Arabidopsis thaliana: one gene and its partners. The protein of the gene in region 2 binds, or shares a complex with, the protein of the main gene of each other region. Each region holds a gene or a part of one and is shown on either strand. Other genes may lie near its edges. The genes, in order: RBR1, MYB3R-5 and ATE2F2.

What was found.
Region 1: MYB3R-5 (region 2) and RBR1 share a complex: the UniProt entries of both Arabidopsis thaliana proteins name them as parts of the DREAM-like complex.
Region 3: MYB3R-5 (region 2) and ATE2F2 share a complex: the UniProt entries of both Arabidopsis thaliana proteins name them as parts of the DREAM-like complex.

The regions. Positions count from the first base shown.
Region 1 is NC_003074.8:3,912,334-3,920,900, reverse strand, and holds RBR1 (retinoblastoma-related 1), read left to right. Parts: upstream 1-1,541; 5' UTR 1,542-2,013; intron 2,014-2,453; 5' UTR 2,454-2,467; coding exon 2,468-2,551; intron 2,552-2,666; coding exon 2,667-2,771; intron 2,772-2,857; coding exon 2,858-3,000; intron 3,001-3,079; coding exon 3,080-3,176; intron 3,177-3,262; coding exon 3,263-3,309; intron 3,310-3,576; coding exon 3,577-3,769; intron 3,770-3,900; coding exon 3,901-3,967; intron 3,968-4,053; coding exon 4,054-4,233; intron 4,234-4,333; coding exon 4,334-5,389; intron 5,390-5,484; coding exon 5,485-5,647; intron 5,648-5,745; coding exon 5,746-5,818; intron 5,819-5,939; coding exon 5,940-6,116; intron 6,117-6,209; coding exon 6,210-6,329; intron 6,330-6,411; coding exon 6,412-6,544; intron 6,545-6,636; coding exon 6,637-6,749; intron 6,750-6,857; coding exon 6,858-6,973; intron 6,974-7,055; coding exon 7,056-7,230; 3' UTR 7,231-7,552; downstream 7,553-8,567. Other genes in the region: AT3G12290 (Amino acid dehydrogenase family protein), read right to left, coding at 1-126, 234-391, 565-748, 1,197-1,310; PRMT3 (protein arginine methyltransferase 3), read right to left, coding at 7,779-8,213, 8,291-8,458, 8,546-8,567. UniProt on the Arabidopsis thaliana protein: Key regulator of entry into cell division. Acts as a transcription repressor of E2F target genes, whose activity is required for progress from the G1 to the S phase of the cell cycle.
Region 2 is NC_003076.8:481,861-488,707, forward strand, and holds MYB3R-5 (myb domain protein 3r-5), read right to left. Parts: upstream 4,614-6,847; 5' UTR 4,488-4,613; coding exon 4,446-4,487; intron 4,076-4,445; coding exon 3,924-4,075; intron 3,805-3,923; exon of another isoform or gene 3,793-3,804; coding exon of another isoform or gene 3,779-3,792; coding exon 3,727-3,778; intron 3,576-3,726; coding exon 3,518-3,575; intron 3,220-3,517; coding exon 3,125-3,219; intron 3,028-3,124; coding exon 2,924-3,027; intron 2,837-2,923; coding exon 2,708-2,836; intron 2,600-2,707; coding exon 1,585-2,599; 3' UTR 1,562-1,584; exon of another isoform or gene 1,480-1,561; 3' UTR 933-1,479; downstream 1-932. Other genes in the region: PRT6 (proteolysis 6), read left to right, coding at 74-140, 281-358, 464-532, 621-692; AT5G02330 (Cysteine/Histidine-rich C1 domain family protein), read right to left, coding at 5,412-6,847. UniProt on the Arabidopsis thaliana protein: Transcription factor that binds 5'-AACGG-3' motifs in gene promoters. Transcription repressor that regulates organ growth.
Region 3 is NC_003070.9:17,632,846-17,639,156, reverse strand, and holds ATE2F2 (winged-helix DNA-binding transcription factor family protein), read right to left. Parts: upstream 4,461-6,311; 5' UTR 4,221-4,460; coding exon 3,987-4,220; intron 3,726-3,986; coding exon 3,539-3,725; intron 3,428-3,538; coding exon 3,368-3,427; intron 3,284-3,367; coding exon 3,198-3,283; intron 2,999-3,197; coding exon 2,910-2,998; intron 2,822-2,909; coding exon 2,767-2,821; intron 2,599-2,766; coding exon 2,546-2,598; intron 2,454-2,545; coding exon 2,403-2,453; intron 2,324-2,402; coding exon 2,275-2,323; intron 2,195-2,274; coding exon 2,129-2,194; intron 2,043-2,128; coding exon 1,972-2,042; intron 1,882-1,971; coding exon 1,767-1,881; intron 1,675-1,766; coding exon 1,600-1,674; 3' UTR 1,348-1,599; downstream 1-1,347. UniProt on the Arabidopsis thaliana protein: Involved in transcriptional repression. May act by repressing E2F-regulated genes in mature differentiated cells, but is not an antagonist of E2FA.

The DNA of each region.
Region 1 (8,567 bases), on a different chromosome or scaffold from region 2:
GACAGTAGCATCAGCCTTGAGCAAAAGAAGTGAAACGGGCAAACCAACAATGTTACTCCGACCTACAACAACTGCTCGTTGCCCCTTTATCTTTACGCCGCTTCTAGCTAGGAGTTCCAAACATCCCTGCACACACAGAAAATCACCTCATAGTTGATACAGAAGAAAAACAGAACACTGAGATTTCTCGCTTGAAAGAGACTGAAGTCTATATGCAAAAAAAGGAGAAGTACCTTTGGGGTGCAAGGAAGGAAGAGGGGTTCTCTGCCTTTCATGGCTAGCTTACCAATATTCAAAGGATGGAAGCCATCGACATCTTTATCAATGCTGATTGCACCCAATATATGCTCCTCATTAATATGTTTCGGCAATGGGAGTTGAACTAATATGCCTGCAAATCAAACACCAAAGCTTATATAAGCACAGGAGAGCAAGGAATGTTTGCTTTATACCAAAACGAAAGACTTGCATAGACATTAAAGTTTCTATCTATCCTTAATAGTTTAGACTAATGATAACCGAGAAGACATACAAAATCAAGTATTATTTACCGCCACAACTAACCATGGACATCCGGATTTGAATTTAGTTCATGAACTTTGCTAATAAGATCAGCTTCAGAAACTTCCTCTGGTAGGCCCACGTCAAATGACTTAATCCCAACCTCAGCGCACGCTTTCCTCTTCGTATTCACATAGGTCTGTGAATCCTTTCGGCTCCCAACAATAACTACAGCTAGTCCTGGGACCTGCATGAAGGTAAAATCAGATTCGATTGAATCTCGTACATTCTTGAAACTATATAAAGGGGTCCAACTGAAGCAACTGAACAAACGCACTAAACCATTTATTACACATACTCTCGTTCCTTCTATTTTATTACAATGATATCAAACATTATAAGCTTAGCACACACTATCTGTATAAATAAGATAGTATGCCACTTGAAGTAATGCAGGCAGCTCAAAAATCCAGCGAAACAAAATAACAGTGATCTAACTAAAATGGAGCTTACATTTGACCCTGTTAAGCATTTTCAATAGAAGGTTGTGATCATAGCTGCTTAAATCTAGTCATTTTAAACCATAAAGCTAAAAGAGAGTAAATTTTCAATAGTGCTATCATCTTATAAAAGAACGGAGAATTATAAGGAGAGACATGTCAAGATTAGGACACTGATTCATAAGATGCGTTTACCTTGCCGTGTTTCTCAGATAGACCGCGAACTTCCTCGGCGATCTCTGATCTGATGGTATGAGCAATCGCCTTGCCGTCGATTATCTTCGCCGTGTGATCAGATGATGACGCCATGAGCCACTAGGAATTTGCCTCGTGTCGGAAATATCTAATTCTCTCTCTGGATCCACTCACACTCGAAGATGACGAAGAAGACTTAATCTGAATCCATCCGCGGATAGGACACTCATACTTCTGCAACCAAACGTTCTACAATGGCAAATATGTAATTTCCCGCGTGACCTAAACTAGAAACGGCATCGTATTAAGGGTGGGCCCAATCATAACTCACACGAGGCTTTGTCGCGGTCACGAAAACCCAGACGGCGTTAATGGCCCACTCCGTTTGTTTCGACCCCGCCGTGACGGCGAATCTTTCCCTCTCAGCGTTTCACGCAACAGTAAGTAAGTTTTGGCGGTAAAATTGGGTCACAGATGGGTACGTGTCGATTTAATAGTGGTTGAAAGCGCGCGAATATAATTGTATACGTATGTGTATGTATTCTCCGTGTTGTTTTTCCCGCGCGAGATATATCCTTTTTTAGGGTTTGCCGCATAATCAGACCCCATTCTAGAGAGAGAAGAGGGAAGTCAGGTGAAGATAGAGAGAGACACTGAGAGGAGGGAAAATTTGTAGGGTTTTCGGAGATCTCTGTGATTCCTCTGAATTTGTCGAATTTTTTGGAGGAGGCGTTAGAAGTCGGGCTTCTTAAAAATCAGATCTTCTGCTCAGGCTTTAATCGGCGACGTCTGGTATTGGGATCTGTGACACAAAAAGGTAAGATCTTTCTCTATTGCCTATCCTTTGATTTGAAATCTTATCCTCTAGGTGGTTTATCTGAAATTTTCTATTGATATTTCGCTATTCGATTGTAAGTTGGTGAGAGAATTCTCCAAAAACAAAAAAGAGAAAAACTTTGAATGAATATTTAAGATAACATCTGGGTAAAATTTTTCCGGAGTGGTGGGTTTTAGATTATGCCCCAATTTCTCTTCTTTTTTTCCCCCAAATTTTGTCTTTCTGCCATGTTTTGGGAAATTGGGAGTTTGTTTTCTCATGTCTGTTAGTGTGTTCTTCCGAATGGGTTGGGCATGGTTCCTATTGAATTTCAGTGTGATTAAATTAACAAATCTCTTTGCTTGAAAAGTCCCTTTTTCTTCGTCTTCAGTTAGCAGTTTAATTGGAAGTAAAATTAGCTTGATTTTGCATGTTTTCAGCTGCGTTGGAGACTATGGAAGAAGTTCAGCCTCCAGTGACCCCGCCCATTGAACCAAATGGGAAAAGAAGCGAAGCCTCTCTCTTGGACATATGCGAGGTTTACTCTTCTCTTTGCTGATCTAGTTGCATTTGTTTAGTTGAAGATACCATTTGAGTTCTCTCGGAAATTTTGAGGACTAGCTCTAATCCCTGTAGTTGATTTCTTATTGCAGAAAGTTCTGTCTCTTGATGGGAGCACTTGCGATGAAGCTTTGAAGTTGTTTACAGAAACCAAACGAATTTTGTCAGCAAGCATGTCTAACATTGGAAGTGGAACGGTGAAATACATTTTTCCTCTAACTTCTCTTTTATCAGTTAACTGTGGTTTCATTATGACTAAATCCTTTTTTCTTCTTCTTATTAGCGGGAAGAAGTAGAGAGGTTCTGGTTTGCGTTTATTCTCTATTCAGTGAAGAGGCTTAGTGTGAGAAAAGAAGCGGATGGTCTGTCAGTGTCTGGTGATAATGAGTTTAATCTATGTCAGATACTGAGGGCTCTGAAGCTAAAGTAAGTAGTGTTCAATTCTTCCTTCCTTGTCATTCTTAAATTCATTTGTAGTGACGATTTTCCTCTTTTCTGTTTATAGTATTGTGGATTTTTTTAAAGAGTTACCTCAGTTTGTGGTCAAGGCTGGATCTGTACTGGGTGAACTTTACGGCGCAGACTGGGAGAACAGACTTCAGGTTTTGACTAACATCTTTTAAATATACTTCTACTTCTATTATATCATTGTTAAATATGCTTCTATTAACTAATTTTTACTTACTAGGCAAAGGAGGTGCAGGCTAACTTTGTGCATCTTAGCCTTCTAAGCAAGTGAGTTTAGCTCCCTTCCTATTTTACATTTATCTTTGTTTTGTGTAAGAATAGTTATTGACATAGATTTCATATTTTGGACCTGCAACTTAGAAGCAAATTTTCTTCCTATGCAATAATCAGAATATGGGCTTGCAATATTCCTTCAATTTTAAATTAATTAAGATTTAGAGTTACAGATTTCTGGTTTTCATGTGATTATATTCTGTGAATTGTTTTAAGGACATGTTAAAGTATGATGTTTTTGGTACCTTTCCTTGGTAACAGATACTACAAACGTGGGTTCCGGGAATTCTTTTTGACATATGATGCAAACGCAGAAAAGAACTCAGCAAACTCTTCTACCTATTTGCTGGATAGTTATCGTTTTGGATGGCTACTCTTTTTGGCACTCCGAAACCATGCGTTTAGTCGATTTAAGGACCTCGTGACATGCTCAAATGGCGTAGTTTCTATATTGGTTAGTGACTACCTGTGGAGCTCTCCCTAATCTTTCATTCATTTTAGTCTTGCTGTACATTATTACTTGAAAGATGCTTCGTTTAATATAACGCAATTGAAGTATAGGCTAACTCCTTTTCATGTTATCAGGCTATTTTGATCATACATGTTCCTTGTCGGTTTAGAAATTTCAGCATCCAAGATTCTTCTCGCTTTGGTGAGTGTTTATCTTTTCTTCTATCCCGATAACCATGGCACCATAGAATGTTTATCATCTATTTTCATTTATGTGATGAATCTCAGTTAAGAAAGGTGACAAAGGTGTAGACTTGGTTGCATCACTTTGCAAGATATATGACGCCTCAGAAGATGAGTTGAGGATAGTAATTGACAAGGCAAATAATTTGGTAGAAACCATACTGAAGAAAAAGCCATCTCCAGCATCTGAGTGCCAAACTGACAAGCTAGATAATATTGACCCAGGTTGGTCTAAAATCATTTTCCTTCTTCAATTAAAGAATCATGTGAGTTCATTGAACAGTTGCCTGATTGTTCTTCGAATCTATATGGTGTTTTACTGCAGATGGCTTGACCTACTTTGAGGATTTACTGGAAGAGACGTCCATCTCAACTAGCTTAATTACACTTGAAAAGGATTACTATGATGGTAAAGGCGAACTTGATGAGAGGGTATTCATCAATGAAGAGGATAGCTTACTTGGATCTGGAAGCTTATCTGCAGGAGCTGTTAATATTACTGGTGTTAAGAGGAAAATTGATGCTTTGAGCTCACCTGCAAGGACATTTATAAGCCCACTTTCTCCTCATAAGTCGCCTGCTGCTAAGACAAATGGTATTAGCGGTGCTACCAAGTTGGCAGCAACACCAGTGAGCACAGCAATGACAACTGCCAAGTGGCTCAGGACTGTCATATCCCCGCTTCTGCCAAAACCTTCTCCTGGGTTGGAACATTTCCTTAAATCATGTGATAGGGATATAACAAATGACGTCACACGAAGAGCACACATAATATTGGAAGCTATTTTCCCAAATAGTTCCCTTGGTGCCCAATGTGGAGGTGGAAGTTTGCAAGCTGTTGACCTGATGGATGACATATGGGCAGAGCAGCGCAGATTAGAAGCTTGTAAGTTATACTACAGAGTTCTTGAGGCAATGTGTAAAGCAGAAGCTCAGATTTTGCATGCAAATAATCTGAACTCTTTATTGACAAATGAGAGGTTCCATAGATGCATGCTTGCTTGCTCAGCTGAATTGGTACTGGCTACCCACAAAACAATTACAATGTTGTTCCCAGCTGTTCTGGAGAGGACTGGGATCACAGCCTTTGATCTCAGCAAGGTAATTGAGAGTTTCATACGACATGAAGATTCTCTGCCTAGAGAGTTGAGACGACATCTGAATTCACTGGAGGAACGGCTTCTAGAGAGTATGGTATGGGAGAAAGGCTCTTCAATGTACAATTCTCTGATTGTTGCCAGGCCATCGCTTGCATTGGAGATAAATCAGCTCGGTTTACTAGCTGAACCAATGCCATCTCTGGATGCAATCGCAGCACTTATTAATTTCTCTGACGGAGCAAATCATGCATCATCTGTACAAAAGCATGAAACTTGTCCAGGTAGTTTTATTTGTTTCTGAATTAAAGCAGTTTTCCAACCTGTTGTTAATGGTATGATTTTCTTACCAAAAATTGTCAAATTTGCTGCCATATAGGACAAAATGGGGGGATTAGATCGCCCAAAAGATTATGTACTGATTACCGCAGCATTCTAGTTGAACGCAATTCCTTTACATCACCAGTAAAGGATCGTCTGTTGGCCTTAGGCAACGTTAAATCCAAGATGCTGCCACCTCCGTTGCAGTCTGCATTTGCCAGGTACATTTTGAGTAACTATGAGTAGAAATGGAGAGTTAGTTTACCTATCTAGTTGTCCCTGTACTTGTTAAGTAACCTCTTCGGATTTATGTCTACAGCCCAACACGGCCCAACCCAGGAGGTGGAGGAGAAACTTGTGCAGAAACTGGAATCAATATTTTCTTCACAAAGGTAGGTCTGTGAGATCTTTGGATCTACTACTAATCGTTTGGTTAGATGATGTACTACAAAACACGGTATTGATTCTTCATTTTCGGCTGGGAATTGTGTTAAATGTGGTGGCTCTTCCCAGATTAATAAATTGGCTGCTGTAAGAATCAATGGAATGGTGGAAAGACTACAACTTTCACAGCAAATAAGGGAGAGTGTGTATTGTTTCTTCCAACATGTACTTGCTCAGCGGACTTCTCTTTTATTCAGTCGACACATTGACCAGATCATTCTCTGTTGCTTCTACGGAGTGGCCAAGGTGAGTAGTGTGATTCAAAGGGTTTAACTATATGTCATCTGGTTTACAATGGCTTCTCTTACACTTACACTTTTTCCATGAATCACCTTGTAGATATCCCAAATGAGCCTGACTTTCAGGGAAATCATATACAACTACCGGAAGCAACCACAGTGTAAACCATTAGTTTTCCGCAGCGTTTATGTGGATGCGTTACAATGTCGCCGTCAAGGGGTATATATACACTCTTAACCTTATGCTGAAAAGTTTCTTTACTCGGTGGAGAAGACTAAATTTGTGACAATGACTTGAACAGAGAATAGGGCCAGATCATGTTGACATCATCACATTCTACAATGAAATATTTATTCCTGCCGTAAAGCCGCTGCTGGTGGAGCTAGGTCCTGTAAGAAACGACCGGGCTGTGGAAGCCAATAATAAGCCTGAAGGTAGTTAAGAAAGGCCAGATACTTGTTAGATGTAAGCTTTGTCTATCAATTTAGTCCCTAAGTTAAATGATCGTCTTATTTTGGATTCACAGGTCAATGTCCCGGATCGCCAAAGGTGTCTGTGTTTCCAAGTGTTCCAGACATGTCCCCTAAAAAAGTATCTGCAGTGCACAATGTTTATGTTTCTCCTCTTCGGGGATCAAAGGTAAAGAAGATCATAGTGCTTAACTCTTTATCATGATATGACTAAGTCTTGAGGAGGAGGTAGGTGACAAGATTGTTTGGTTACCTTCCATGTGTTGTGTGTTTGCAGATGGATGCTCTTATTTCACACAGTACAAAGAGTTACTATGCTTGTGTTGGAGAGAGTACACATGCTTACCAGAGCCCTTCAAAGGACCTATCTGCCATCAACAACCGCTTGAACAAGTAAGTAGAAAAATCACGTCTCTCATCAGCTTCTTCCATAAAACCAATCACTGACCCAATCCAATTTCATCTGGTGTCACAGCAGCAGCAGCAACCGCAAGAGGACGCTAAACTTTGACGCAGAAGCAGGGATGGTCAGCGATTCCATGGTAGCAAATAGCCTTAACCTCCAAAACCAAAATCAAAACCAAAATGGAAGCGATGCATCGTCCTCAGGTGGTGCCGCACCCCTTAAAACCGAGCCAACAGATTCATAGATATCTCTCTCTACTTGCTACACCAACTTCTCTTCAGTTATAGCATCTGTAAATCCTTATGTTGCAGAGTTTGCTTTTATGTTTAGCTTTCTAGTTTATAGTGATCACCTCAGGCTATGAGCGGATGGATCCCTTTATTGTTTCTTTTTTCTTTTTTTATCTTAGTTAAGTCAGTCTTAATAAGCATTAATAAATGTCTTTTTCTTGTTCACTCTTTCTAACTGTGTTCGGTGTCCCATCTACTAAATTTATTTTCCACTTTAAAAAAAAACAATTTGTGACATTTACTTAACTTGGAACATATACAGTACAGTTAAGCAATTAACTATAACCAACAAATTGTCTGAACAATTGTCTGTCTTACCTTTTTAGCTCTCTATAAATTTACGCCGCAAAACAACACTTTATGTCGATTTCAGAATAACTTACTACTCCAGCATATTTCTCAAAACTTTCTCAATAGGTTAAATTTAAAACAACCTTGCAACTTATGAAAAAATCCTCAGCAAATTTGCCAGAAAAGAGTGTTACAATGGCTACAATCACATTCATAGATTAAATATCTGAACCGGCCAGTGACGCTTCTGACCCTTTGAGCTCAGCCCAGTAGCCTCTAACGAGATGTCTATGCTGCGATGCTCATGTGCTCGTGCAACACTCACACGCAGATGAATGCTTGAGGCGGGACACTCTTCGGTTCCGATGGCTTCTCTTCTGTCATTACCAGACAGAACCGAGGCCGGTGCCACTGAGATTGGTTCTTGAAAAGTTAAGATTGTCTGAGCCCAGTGTGTTGGGGGAGTGTAGGGTGATGTGGATAGTACGGTTGGGTTTTCCTTACAGAACCTACTGGTGAAACCTGTGTCAAACCACAACACAACACCATGGCACAACCTAGTTTTTGCTTCTGACTCAGTGGGCTCCAGCGTTGCCGTTGCTGTGAAATCTACTTCATCCGGTTTCATGGTAGCCAGGTCAAATGTCTAGAAACAAAGAAATTCAAGGAAATTAATTTCAAAGTTTTTCCTGGCGAAACCAAATAATGTGTGATCTTTCAAACCTGAAGAAGGGTAGGCTGTGTCACTAAATCACGCTCCGCTATAACGTCAACAATGGGAAGTCGAGTAGTGTCGTCATGTATCTCCTTCCCAATTGAAGACATGTCAAAGCCATAGACATCTTCCCAGAAAGGAAGACTTGTTGCACCTTTTCCAAATCCCGCAACAAACTGATCCAAGGAGAAAACAAGGGATAAAACTCATCAAGATGATTTCATGAAAAAGACAACATTTGAAGGGCAAAAGATAAGCTTTACCATAGTGGCCGTGTCAGGGAGG
Region 2 (6,847 bases):
CCAAACATCGTTTTGGTTGACACTGTTATTGTTCTAGAAAACCAAACAATGACGTTCTAACATACTTTTACAGAGAAAGTGGTTGTCCTAATCATGCAATTACCTGTGGTGCTGGTACTGGTGTATTTCTTCTGATACGGGTATCACCTCTCGTCTTCTCTCTCTCTCTCTCTCTCTTGTGGATATAACTCTCCTTTACTTTATATATTGCTCGTGTATGTATGGAGTTTGCATCATTTGTGGGCTTTCTAATTGATTACTGCTCTACATTTTTCGATAGCGGACCACAATTTTGCTACAAAGGTTTGCAAGACAATCACCTTGGCCATCTCCTTACCTGGATACGTTTGGAGAAGAGGTAAACCTAGAAAGATTTTTTTCTTTCTTTTCCTTTTAACTTTGATGGGTACGATCTTGTTGATTCGGATGTTTCCATGCTGTTGGTCATTGAATATTGTTTCAGGATATCGATATGATCAGAGGAAAACGACTATACCTGAATGAAGAACGTTATGCTGCTTTAACTTACTTGGTAAATGTTTGTCTCAACAATCAAAAGAAGAAACTTTTGTTTGTATGGTAAAATATATAATTGTTTTGCTTGGTGAAATCCTTTTCAGGTTGGTTCTCATGGACTTGATCGCAGTTCAAAAGTTCTCGGCCAAACCACAATTGGAGCCGTCTTACATTAAACGATCTGCGTGCTATTTCTCAGACATTGATCTCTATGAGATGGTATTCATATGTTGCTTTGAAATCATCAGTTAAGATTCTAAAGATTTGAGAGCTTTTCTGATGATTTTTTTTTATTTGATTTCTGTCACTTTGGTTGATTTCTTTATTTGTGGATATATGCGATCATGTTTGTAAATAGAGTATTATTTCTTGGCAGTTGCATAATGTTTATTTTTAACAATACTATCATTGGTTAGTCTCTGTGCGCAGATTTGCATTGTTTCTTTTATTTTATTCAGGCTTACTACCTGAAAATGGTCGATAAACATCCCAATGATTAAAAAAAAAGTGTTGATTTTGAGAAGGTTTATTTGTAAAATTTTTGATATATGTACAGATTGATCCAGAGAAAGGATAGTATCAAAACGAATGTGTTGTGTTCTGATATCACTTCGATGTCCGAAAATGGAAGAATTTTCAGTGTCTTCGTCAACTATGTAACATCATATACTCAAAAGCCCTAAAAATAAAAAAGAATTAACCAAAATTCTAATCCTTTAAAACTAGTTTCTGCACAATTATCATTTTAAACGTAAACAGGACACCATGTATGTGAACGATGAAATTAAACTACTTGTGAGTGTACCTACCTACCTATTTCATTTTAGTTCGGGTGTTAGACCAAAGCCGTAGATTCATAGCTCAAGGCTGTGAGGAAGAGAATGAGAATTGTTTTTCTTCACGGTTCTCTTCCCAGCAAAGCTTCAATTCTTCTGGAACCATACTGGTTTCTTCACACGATCTCTGTGTCAACAAGGATGGAATTATTTTAGATTTGTTACTCAGATTAGTGACATTAAATAAAAGATTTGAAATTTTCACTCACAGTTTTCTAAGGGAAGAAGGGTTCTACACAGGCTTGTCTTCCTCAGACGTTTTAATTTCATTATCAGGCTGCTTCTCTTTTGCAGATGTAAACTCAATCTCATTATCTGGCTGCTTCTCCTTTTCAGATGTAAACTCAAGCTGTCTTGATTTGATTACAGCTGTTCTTTTAGCTCTTAACCGATATGGTGGAGACAAATTGAAAGCATTTCCATTTAACCCGAGTTCTTCATCATCACTGCAATTATCAGTTGTCTCCAGCAACAAACTTTTTCTCATATCTTTACTTTCTTCTTTTCGATCAACTTCCTTAACTACACCATTAACAACAACAACAGCATCTGTTTTCGCTGCCAAAACAACCTTTCGCCTTTTCCTAAAAATAGAAGGTGTGTTTGGAAAAGTCCTAGCAGCTTCTCTCAAGAAAGATTCAGGACTTCTCGTTGCAGTTAAACCACTGTCTTTATTACAGGGTGTAGTCATTAAGCTGACTGGTGATGCAGCACCGGGACTGCAACCACATTCATATCCGTACATATGTTGCAGATCCGCTTCTGATGGAAAGTAATAGTCAAGTGGAGACTTATAGTATAAATTCCCATGCTTTGGAGTTCCAAACCCGTTTTCTACTTTCCTCTGGATTGATCTCTCAAAATAAGCTTTTGAGTTGATTCTGACTTCCTCTGAAATTGGTTCCAGATTAGGCAACTGAGGCTTGTACTCAACAGGAGAGCAAGCATACTCATTGACACCGATTCTTCGTGAAGCAGCTACTTCTTCAAGCAGAGCGGAAGAAGAGTCAAAATGGTCTCTTCCAACTTCATTTGAATCTGTATTTCCTGAAGAGGTTTGGGTAAGCGAATCAGAATCCTTGAAAGGTTTAGTTGCACTAGACTGCTTGGAATCTCTGTCTCCATCAGCAATATCTTTCAGAACGATGAATTTGCTTGCTGGCGGTGGCAAGTTACCAGTTGCTAAGTAGAACTCTAATTTTTTCTTCAGTGAACTATTCCAATGGTTCTTTATGGCGTTATCAGTCCTGCAAAAAGTACAGGTAGACATCAGAAGCAAAAACTGTATGAGATGTTCAAAAATGTCCATTAACTTTATTTTTCACAAGGCCTTTTTCAACTACAAGTAAGTATACCTTCCTGGTAAAACCTTAGCAATTTCCGCCCATTTGTTTCCGTACATTCGATGAGAATTCATGAGAGCTGATTCTTCTTCTACGGTCCAAGCATCCTTTCTAATACCAGGATTTAAATGGTTGTGCCACCTGTAATCGTAAACTCGTTGAGGCTTCCAAACTCAACGGAGGTACAGGCTCTATTCTTCAGATAGTCAATATTCTAATCTTTGTTACCTTTCTCGACATTGTTTCCCAATACGACCTGGTAAGGACTTGGCGATGACAGACCATTTGGCAGGTCCATATTTTTTTACAAGTTCAACGATTTTATCATCCTCCTACAATTCACGAAAGAAAGAGAATTTTAGAGCTACCAAATTTTTACGTAAAATGAAAACCAAAAAAAGTTTCAGAACATGAAAATGATAAGAGAACCTCTTGAGTCCAAGGTCCTTTAACAAGCTCTGGATTAAGAACTTTCTGCCACCTGTGCAAGCATTGGACTTCTGTTCTCTCTGGGAAAAATTCCGCTGTAAGATGAAATACAAAAAAATCAAACAAACAGAACATTGACCGAAACCAGCTACTTTAACATTTAAGAGACAAAAAAGAAATCATGGTTCTCTTGCAAAGTGCACAGCAGAGATCATGTTTACTGAATGAGAAAAATTCACAAAATTCTCAGCAGATTTAAGATACGAGTTCAGTTTTAAAAATGTATAAATTATACATTCAAGTATACATCAAGACAAGAGTGTGATTAGAAGACCTATAATCTCATTCTAATGTATTGCAATACTACTTTTACATTCAAGAAAAGAAATTTACCTATTTTCTTCCACCTCTTCCCCTTATACTTTTCAACTGCTCGTCTAAGTGTCTCATCCTGAATAGTGATAAAAACCAATTACAGACCACAATAAGGCTAGTCTCGTCTTTCATTCAAGTAAACACTAATCCTTATACATATAAGATACATAGTCGAATGAGGTTGCTCCACACACCAACAAAATTATGAAACAAAAGCAACCACTAACCTCCTCTGGAGTCCAACCACCTTTTGCTCGTCTCATAGGTCCACTAGTCCTCCTGCAGATCAACATTAAAACATTGCAGAAACCCAAAATGAGTTCGGTGTAAGTCATCAAAGCACAGTCTTTCCAATCAATCAATTTCATAATAAGTTGTATAAACACACAGATAGAAGATGAAATGTAAAAGATAGTAAAAGTACCGAGGAAATGAAGATACTGTGGCAGGAGTTGCGATTTCAGGTGACTTGAGGAAGAAACAGCCACTACCTTCGGATGCAGAAGAGCAAGAAGCAGCTAATGGTTGCTTATTCTCCATACATTGAATCTCAATTTTCATTTCACTTCTTTCCTCCTAAAAAACCCATATAAATCACCAAATCCAGAATTTTCGTTAAAAACATGGGATTGAGCACAAAATGAACAAGAACGTATCTTTATCAAACAAATAATCAAAAATCACAAAACCCTAAAAACTCAACGGCCGCAAAATAGAAGCCAGATCTCACAAAAAAACAAGTCGATTTCTTTCAAGCACAAGATGGATGTTTAGGGTTTATACAATTCTAATCATTAGAAACCAATTCAGACCCTTTTCCAAGACCTGTTAAAACGTGTTCCGATTCAGACCTAAAACCCCATGAACTCACACCAAAGTAGACGAAGATAACAATCTGATCACAAAAAATGAAAAGCCCTAATCAGATTTCAGGGAAAAATCTGACCTTTTCCGGTGAACAAACCGGTGGATTCGAACTTGAGCTCATCGTGATCGCCAGATAAGCGAATTCGCGAGGAAGAAGAAGAAGGGAACGTTAAAAAACAAACCAAAACTTATATTCGAAAAAAACTTTGCCCGTTGAACGAGAGAGAAGAGAGAAAGGAGAAGGAGACTAATTGGGATTAAAACAAATATTGTAACGAATACTTCTTCCGCCGACGTAACTGCTAACTGCCGTTAACCTGGAACCGGCCGGTTTATTCCAAACCGACTCAAAAGAATTGGAAGAAGCCGGTTAATTGAATTGAGAAAATGAATGTTTTTTTACGAAACTTATTAATGTGACTGGGCTAATTAATTAATTATAATATTCTTTCGGATAAAAACGAAAACAACGAGTTTAATTCGTGGTTGGATAAAACCGGTTATCTAAAATCAAACTATAACCGAAAATGGTGACAAGAAACCACAGGGGGACTTAACGGACGTTAAAAGTAGAAGAAAGGTTGACGTTGGAAATAAAAGTTTCAACCTCAAACGGCACTCTTTAGCTGATGCGTTGACCATTGTACACGTCGGCAAATCAGAGGTCCTCAATGATTATGGACCGTCGGATCATTAAGATAACTCATTCTGGTTTTTTTTTTTACTGTAGTTTCTTAAGCGAGAACAGTCCGAATTGGCCCATAATTTAAAGCCCAAAGGCCGAGATATAATTAATCAGTCGAGGTTTTTGGGTAAGAAGAAGATATAGAAAATTACAATTCGTTTTAGTAAAAGAAAAGATTACACAAAAACGTAAACAACCAGACAACAAGAAGATTGAGCAAATGGGGAACTAGAAGAAGTTAAGAATCCAAAAGTATTACAATACGTTTTAATAGAAGAAACATATTACAAAACGTAGACAAGCAAATGGGGAGTGAAATATAGCGAATAAGGGACGACGAAGCACCGGCGATGATGACATCTAATCCATCGAACAACTGTAAGAGCAAAATGTCATGTCATGCCAATTGAAAATTACTTTGTGTGGACAACGATCTTCTTTATGAAGTTGGCAGAATGGTCGAGTCATGGTATTGTTGGGAAGAATATAAATGTTTGACCTATAAGCCATTACAGTATGACCAGGATTCAACATATACATCTCTTTTCCAAGCAAACAATCAACATGGAGAGTGGTGCAGCAGTCATCACACGCATAGAACCCACCTTCTCTTGAGTATTCTAATTTCTTTTCGCATACCTCACACCAGTCTAACTGATCACTTCCCTCTTCCCCTTCCCGAAATGTGAGGAAATGTTTGTCAAGCTTATACTTTGCCTTGTATGGTAAAGTAGCACAACTGAAACATATAATATAATTGCATTCGATGCAATTTAGTTTTCGACCATACTTTTTTCGGCAAATTTGACAAATTGCCTCCCTTTCTTCTTTTCGGTCTAAAGCTTGGAATAAGGGATGCTCATGGCCTTGATAATCAAATGGTTCAGAAACAGAGGCACACCGTATGTCTATGCTGTATTGATCCTCCTCATAGATGAAGCCACAACTTTCACGATCACAAGCGGAACACCTGAAGTAACCTTTAAAGTATTCATTCTGTATATCAGAGACAACTTTTAGCGTAAGTGGGTGACTGTGTAAGGCATGATCTTTCTTGCGAGAAGCATTTGCACATGCTTCGTGGAGGATGAAGTTGCATTGATCCATACACGAGTAATAATTACCCTCATAGATTGGAAGGATGCACGCTTGACAAATAATGTTTTCGTTGTAAACTCCACTGGTCTTGAGTTTCAGATGATGGCCATGAGAAAAATGGAGTATTATTCCATCAGCTATCGTCTCAAATGGCTCGAGAATTATTTCAGGTTCTTCAGGTACTCCCTCGAGATCCTTTCCATCCCACAAGTCTTCCCGTAACGCACATCTTGTATGAACAAAATAGTGGCTACACTTGTTGCAAGTGTATGCACCACAATTGTTGTCAACCTTTTTACGACATACTCCACAAGACCATTTTCCAGATGGAAGAGAAGAGGTAAAAGAGATACGGTGTTGGTGACGACATATTTTAATGACATACGGGAAATAGATACAATCTCGATGGGCTACAAAGATACATCGAAGACACACATAGGTGGGGAAAGCTTCTTTAATGAGGCTACAAACATCGCAAAGTAAGGAAGCTTGTTTGGGAAAAAAGGTGAGAAGGTGGGGATGCCTTTTTGGGTGGTCTATAAAAATGGATATTGGCTTCATCGCACAATCGGGATGCAAACTCAATTTGTAGGTGGGACAATAATAAAAAATAAGATTGGAAGGGTGTTTACAGCACATGCAACTCATGAGCTGCTCGTGACGAGTGTAAAGTTTGAGTGAAAGAAAGGGATAGGAAG
Region 3 (6,311 bases), on a different chromosome or scaffold from region 2:
AGAGAGACAAAGGAAATTTTAGGTCACCTATAATAGTAGAAGACACTATTGAGAAAAGGGATTCAGACTTAAAGTTATTATTCGTAGAATTTAAGAGAGAATTGTTGTCTAGCTCTTTATCTTTTACTTTCTGGTTTTCCGTTCTGTACGTTCGGTTCTCTGTTCTGTATTTTCAGGTTTCTCATTCTGTACGTTCGGTTCTCCGTTTTGTCCTTTTGGTTCTCCATTATATATTTCCTGATTTTCCGTTATGTACTTTCGGTTCTCCGTTCTGCATTTTTGGTTTTTCGTTCTGTAATTTTATTGTTCTCCTTCATCGTTAATAAAAAATCTACTCCGTTCTCCTCAAACTCCTTAGTTACTTATTGTTAAAACCTCGGTACAAACATTACCAAGTTGTCCTCTGTCCAATTCCAACCTAGAAGAAACGTCAACATTGCATTTTTAAAGTTTGAATATGAGCCAAAAACAAAAACAAAAAAGGAGCAAAACTGACTTGGCGAGGTAGAAAATTTTTGTTCACTACCTCTTCTTCTATGATGTATCAACGAATCTGCTCTATACCTTCTCTTATTTGACAGGCTATATTTGAGTTTTGCTTCTATTCCAATAATGCTTAGCCATGATTTTCAACAATAAAATTACCATAAAAGTTTGTATATAAAAAAAAATCAAGAATCTCGGTCAAAACGATATTGTTGTAGTGAACTGAGCCATTTGTTTGGGAATCGTTTGAGATGGTAGTCAGCGGCAAAACGACGTTGTTCGATGTTCTTGATTTTTGAGTCGCTTTCAATCTTCTCGTGTGTGGGTGAGTTTATATAGCAGAATTATATCCAACAATGTATATTAGGAAAATTATCCTCTGAAAGGCATTCCTTTTTTTTTAGGGTACGTTTTACTGTTTTAGGCAGTTACTTCTAGGCAAGAGTTATGCCATTTAACGAAAAGTATTGCTTGGGATCCAAACAAGCACCATATTTAGGGATCCACCAAGATATCAATGTCCAATGTGGTCATGATTAACTCATGAATGACATCAAACATGATATGATCTAACTCATGAATGACATCAAGCTTTGTAAAGTTGATACTTCTTTTCCACAAGATATTTTTCTCTACTAGCGTTCAAGACTTCGAGCTTTGAAACTAAATGTAACAAGATGAGAGATTAACTAGTTTTCAATTTGGAACCATTCGTTTTTTGACATGATTCTGACAGAAGTAACGTTTGATATTGTCCAAATCAGGTGGTTCGTAAATGATGCTTTGTTTCTGTTTGAACATGCAAATTGTAACCTATGGACCCAAAGTGTCAAAAAGATTAATTTCAAAGTTCATTATAAACACATGTTACAAAAACAGATGTATGCATTGACATGCAAAAGGCCATTAAGTATAATTATATATCTAATTAGAGTACAAGTTTTTTCACATAATTGCCACATCCCTTGAATGACCTTAAAATATTGCATCTTTTATTTTTATAAGGAAAAAAATCTATTAGGATTTCAGGCTCAAAAGGGGTAGTAAAATGTAACAGAAAATTCATCCTCATCCTAGTAATTGGGAATTTGAGGTTTCAAACAACTTTGTTTCTCAGCTGTTGAAGTTGCTCCATAAATCTGTGAGGCTCACCTCTGCATCTGACTCGAACCAGTAATCTGCTTTTAACTGGCAATACACAACCAAAAATTCAACTTAATCGCAACATACGAAATGCGAGACTGATCCCAAAACCCATATCAGTGGATCTAAATACTTACATCAGTATCTGAAGTTACTATTTTCAAGGAAGGAGTGTCTACTCCAACTGGAGCTTTTTGATCAGACTCATTACCCAACTTGTCGCTTGTTTCCGCACTGTCTCCTTTGTATTTGCTGCGATCATGTTTGTTCCCAGTTATTAACACTGACTGACAAATATATAGATAAGACCAGACACAGAGAGTGGAATGTGTAACTAAGTACCTTAAAAGATAGACATCAATCGGCCCCATTCTACTCCTAATCACCATCCGGTACTGTTGCGGAAAACTCATCTATCGTGAACAAAAACAGATGCTTTACTTTGTGACACATTATATTACAACTGTACAGCAAATATGAAAGCATTAAAAACGCTCACCTCATCAGGATCTGGAACTTCGATGTAACTAGCTGTAGGAGCTTTAATTGCTAGTAATGTCTGGTTCTGTATAAGGACTACCAGTTTAGTATGTTAAATAACTGAGGAAAACATAAGATGATTTTCAAGAACTAGTTGGGGAGGACCTGAAACCGTGGGAGACTCGTTATATCTTCCTCCGTCATAAACATGTACCTGTTTATTTCCATCATTGATCTTAGCAACACTCTCGTGTATATACAAAAAGATGAAACTCAAATAAACTGACGAATACCTTCTACAGTAGTCATCTTCCTCCAAGGATCTGAGAGCTTCTTGTCGTTCCCTGGAGATACATAACATGATGATCTTCAAACCATGTGGGAAAGGAACAATGGATAAGTCTCCAAACATAATATAAGAACACAAGCAACCAACCTTATAAGATCATCCAACCTGCTTTCCTCAGATTGCATACTCTCTACTTCTGACTGAAAATACGTAGATATGTAACCGGTCAGTAATGGGGAATTTGAAAATAACTGTGTGAAATAAACTATAAGACAGAAAAATAATGAAATCATGAATTTGACAGATTATTTGCATAGCAGTAAGTTCTACGACAAAGAAAACACGTGAAAATGCTTGTCACAATGAACCTTAAGCCTAGAAATTTGATCTCCCAGGTCCTTTTGTCCAAGATTGTCAGCACCCCTGCATCAATAGCGCATACACAAAGTCAGACGAACTCAAGCTATATACGCTGCAATGTATCCAAGAAAGAAAAAATTTGTGTACTTACTTCCAGCGGATATGATTCTTTGTAGTTTTCTCTATCAATCCAATTCCTTCAAGGACATTTGTAATATCATATATCCTTCTTTTTTGTACCTGTTAAGAGGGATCGCAGGAACACGTAAGCACATAAGAGGAGATCCTAACAAGCTGATGAAGATAACTAGGGAGATATCAAACAGTTAAGGCAAGGGTTATAAAGGTGAGTGATCTTTTTAGTCCACGTTCTTAATTAGATCTTCTACGAGTTGAGACATACATTTTTAACTTAAATATTAAGATACATTTAGCATACCTCCAAAACAACTGCACAATAGTTAAGGTCAAGTGTTCCATCCTCAGCTTCCTGGATCAACTTCACGAATTTTTTTGTCAACAACCCTATCAAACAAAAGAGACACCGATACAATTACAGTTGTTATCTCCATACAAACATGAACCTTAGTAAACAGAACTATTAGTTACCTAAAGAACTGTCATAACGGCAGTTAATACTAGCTCCATTTAAGCCACCATTTTGCACTTCTGCACAAAAAAACTCATTCACAACAATGCTGAATACAAACAGATTCTTATTTTCAATACATATCACATTCTAAGAGCTAGCCAAAGAGATTGATCAGAAAAAGCAGATACCGCCATTCGCCATTCGTTTCCCAGCCTTTAACAGTTTAGTACCACCCTTTGACTTGTTGTATACACGTTTAACATTTTGAGGAGACGACTCTTGTTTCACTATTACTTTAGCTATATCTATGCTTTCTCCTCCAGACATGTTGGCAATAGATCCAAGCTGAATTCGATGATTCTTTCTACTCTTCTGCTGCAAATTAAGAAAAGATCAACTCAATAGCATTACAATCACCAAAACGAATCTAAATTCGCAAATTGAGATTAGAGAATTGAAAGCTAGAGATCCAATTTTGGATTAAGTTTCCCTTAATGAAACCAAACTTCATTCAATTTTTGTTTTCGCGAAATTTGGGAATCAGAATTAAACCTAGCTATCGCAAAATCAAGTTCGGAAATGGAATCAAAATCAAAGAAGGAATCTACGAGGACTTGAGTAAACGAAGAGACTCACAACTTTCTGAGTGATTTGAGAGTAAGAATCGTCCCAGTGAGGTGAAATTAGAGGAGACAGTTGTGAATTCGGAAGCGATTGAGAGACTGAGAAAGGTCGATTCGTTGAAGAAGGAGTTAGAGAAGAGTAACGAGGATCAGAGGAAGAGATAGATTGAAGTAATTCGAAGCGAAAAGGAGATCGGTGATGGTAAGAGAGAGTCGGATCTTCGCCTGAGTTTGATGTCGCGGCCATGTAACGGCGGTGTATCTCCGGTGGTAGAGAAGATGGGATTTAGAGTGATTTTTTGAAGCGATTTTGGAGAATCGTGATTTAGGTTTTTGTGGGGGAAGATGAAGAAGGAGAAGAGGGAAGATGGAGAAAAAGATGGAGAGAGAAGAGAGGAAACAGCGGGAAGAAGAGGAAGGGTAAAAGTGTCTTTTTGTTGTATTAAAAAGATTAATATAAGAAAGAAATATTGGAATTATGTTAAAAGAGCGGTGGGCGAAAGAAGTTGGAGAGAGTTTCGAATTCTGCCTAAGCCCCGCCTAACTTCTTCCGCTTATTATTTTACTCTTTTGACTATTTGTTGGGCTTGGTCTTGGGCTTGGTCTTGGGCTTGAATTGGGCTTAATAATGTTACGACGTTTACATATCTTCTAGAGCTTCATACTTTGTAGCTTTATGTTAATGATCGACATTCATGGTTCACGAATCTATAAATACGGAGTCTCGGCATTGCTAGATTGAGTTTACAGGGGAGTCCTAATCTCCGAGGTCCATCTGCACCAATAAACTCTATGAACGGCCCAAATTTGGTCCAGTTATCATACCAAAAAGTAGTTTAGAGTTCATGGTCTTTGCCAAAAGGTAGAAATTAGAATGAATTTCTAAACCCATGATTCATTTTGTTTCTCTGGTATCATTTTTCTAGCTTTTTTTCTTTAATATTTTCATAAAAACAATTGAAGAATGAAGAGTGCTTCTGCATAGTTGAGTACTTGAGTAAGTGATATCTAATTAATATCAAATTATGTGAAAATTATACCATCTTTTATGAAGTCGTACTATATATGTATATATGTTTTTTTGTCTATCTTAATATATGTTTATGGGTCTGATTGGTAACCAAAAGTTGTTAACTCTACTACAGGTATTAAGCTGTACAATAAACTAAGAGTAAAACTTTGTAACGCTTAGTACCGTTTTGTAAAGTGGTTACCAATCAAAACCTATATTAGGTTATAAGGAAGCGATGGGTGCATTGACGACAAACACACAAACTTGGTGTATAGCGCTACACAAGGGACTGTTTTTTTTTTCATTGTATTATTACCAATTGCATCATGTAACAAAAATAGGAATTCAAAATACTGAATTAATTAATCATGATTTTGAATAAACAAAACATATTAAAGGAATGTAAATATAATTGAGTTATTTCAAAGAGTTTTCGTATCGCATAAGTTTGATACCTTAACTTGTTTTCGTAAAACTGGACAAATATGACGAGAAAAAATCCCTTCATGATATCATGATGGCTTAAATCAACGTAATTTCCATTAGTTTAGATCTGAGAGACTGAAACATTGGTGTACCAAACAATGTAAAACACACATTTTCGTCCCTATGGCATGTGACAACTTTTTAGCCAAAAAAAAGAAAGAGTATTTTATTTAGAAAAATATTTGTGAAGACATATTATCCACATTTTTAAAATTTATTGTAGCCATGGATCAGAAAAATTATATTATATTTTAGTTTAACTGTGACAAACAAACAAAACAAGATTATCCATATAAATGTAAGTTCGTCTAGATATTCATACAGAAAAAGTTTGTCTAGTTGCATTTTTGTTGTCCTAAATTTCAAGTGCACTAACGCGAAATCTACTTCACTTGTCATGGTGCAGTAAGAAAAAAACAGTAAATAAAAAATGAAAAAAATATGGAAACACTAAAAAAGAATTTACAATAGTCGATAGCATTTTTATTTGTTTACTTTGGTTCCTTTTTTCTACTTTTATACAAAAGAAAAGGTGAGGAGGAATTTATAGCCTCTAAAAGTGATCTTACAAGTTATCTAACGTTGTTTTTTTGGTAAGAAGTTATTTTTATTATAACTCCTACCATTTAGGTAATTAACTTCCTTAGGCTTAAGAGTTTTCTACAACTATTAGATTTTAACCCGTAGTACACCATGAAGATTTTTTTTTTTAAAATTAGTATATATAAAAGTTTGAAAATTATATCTATCTATAAAATATTTTTATTTTATATTTTATAATTCTTATTAAGTAACGTTCTTCCAAACCCGTCTCGCCAAACCTGTCCTATAAAAAAAAAA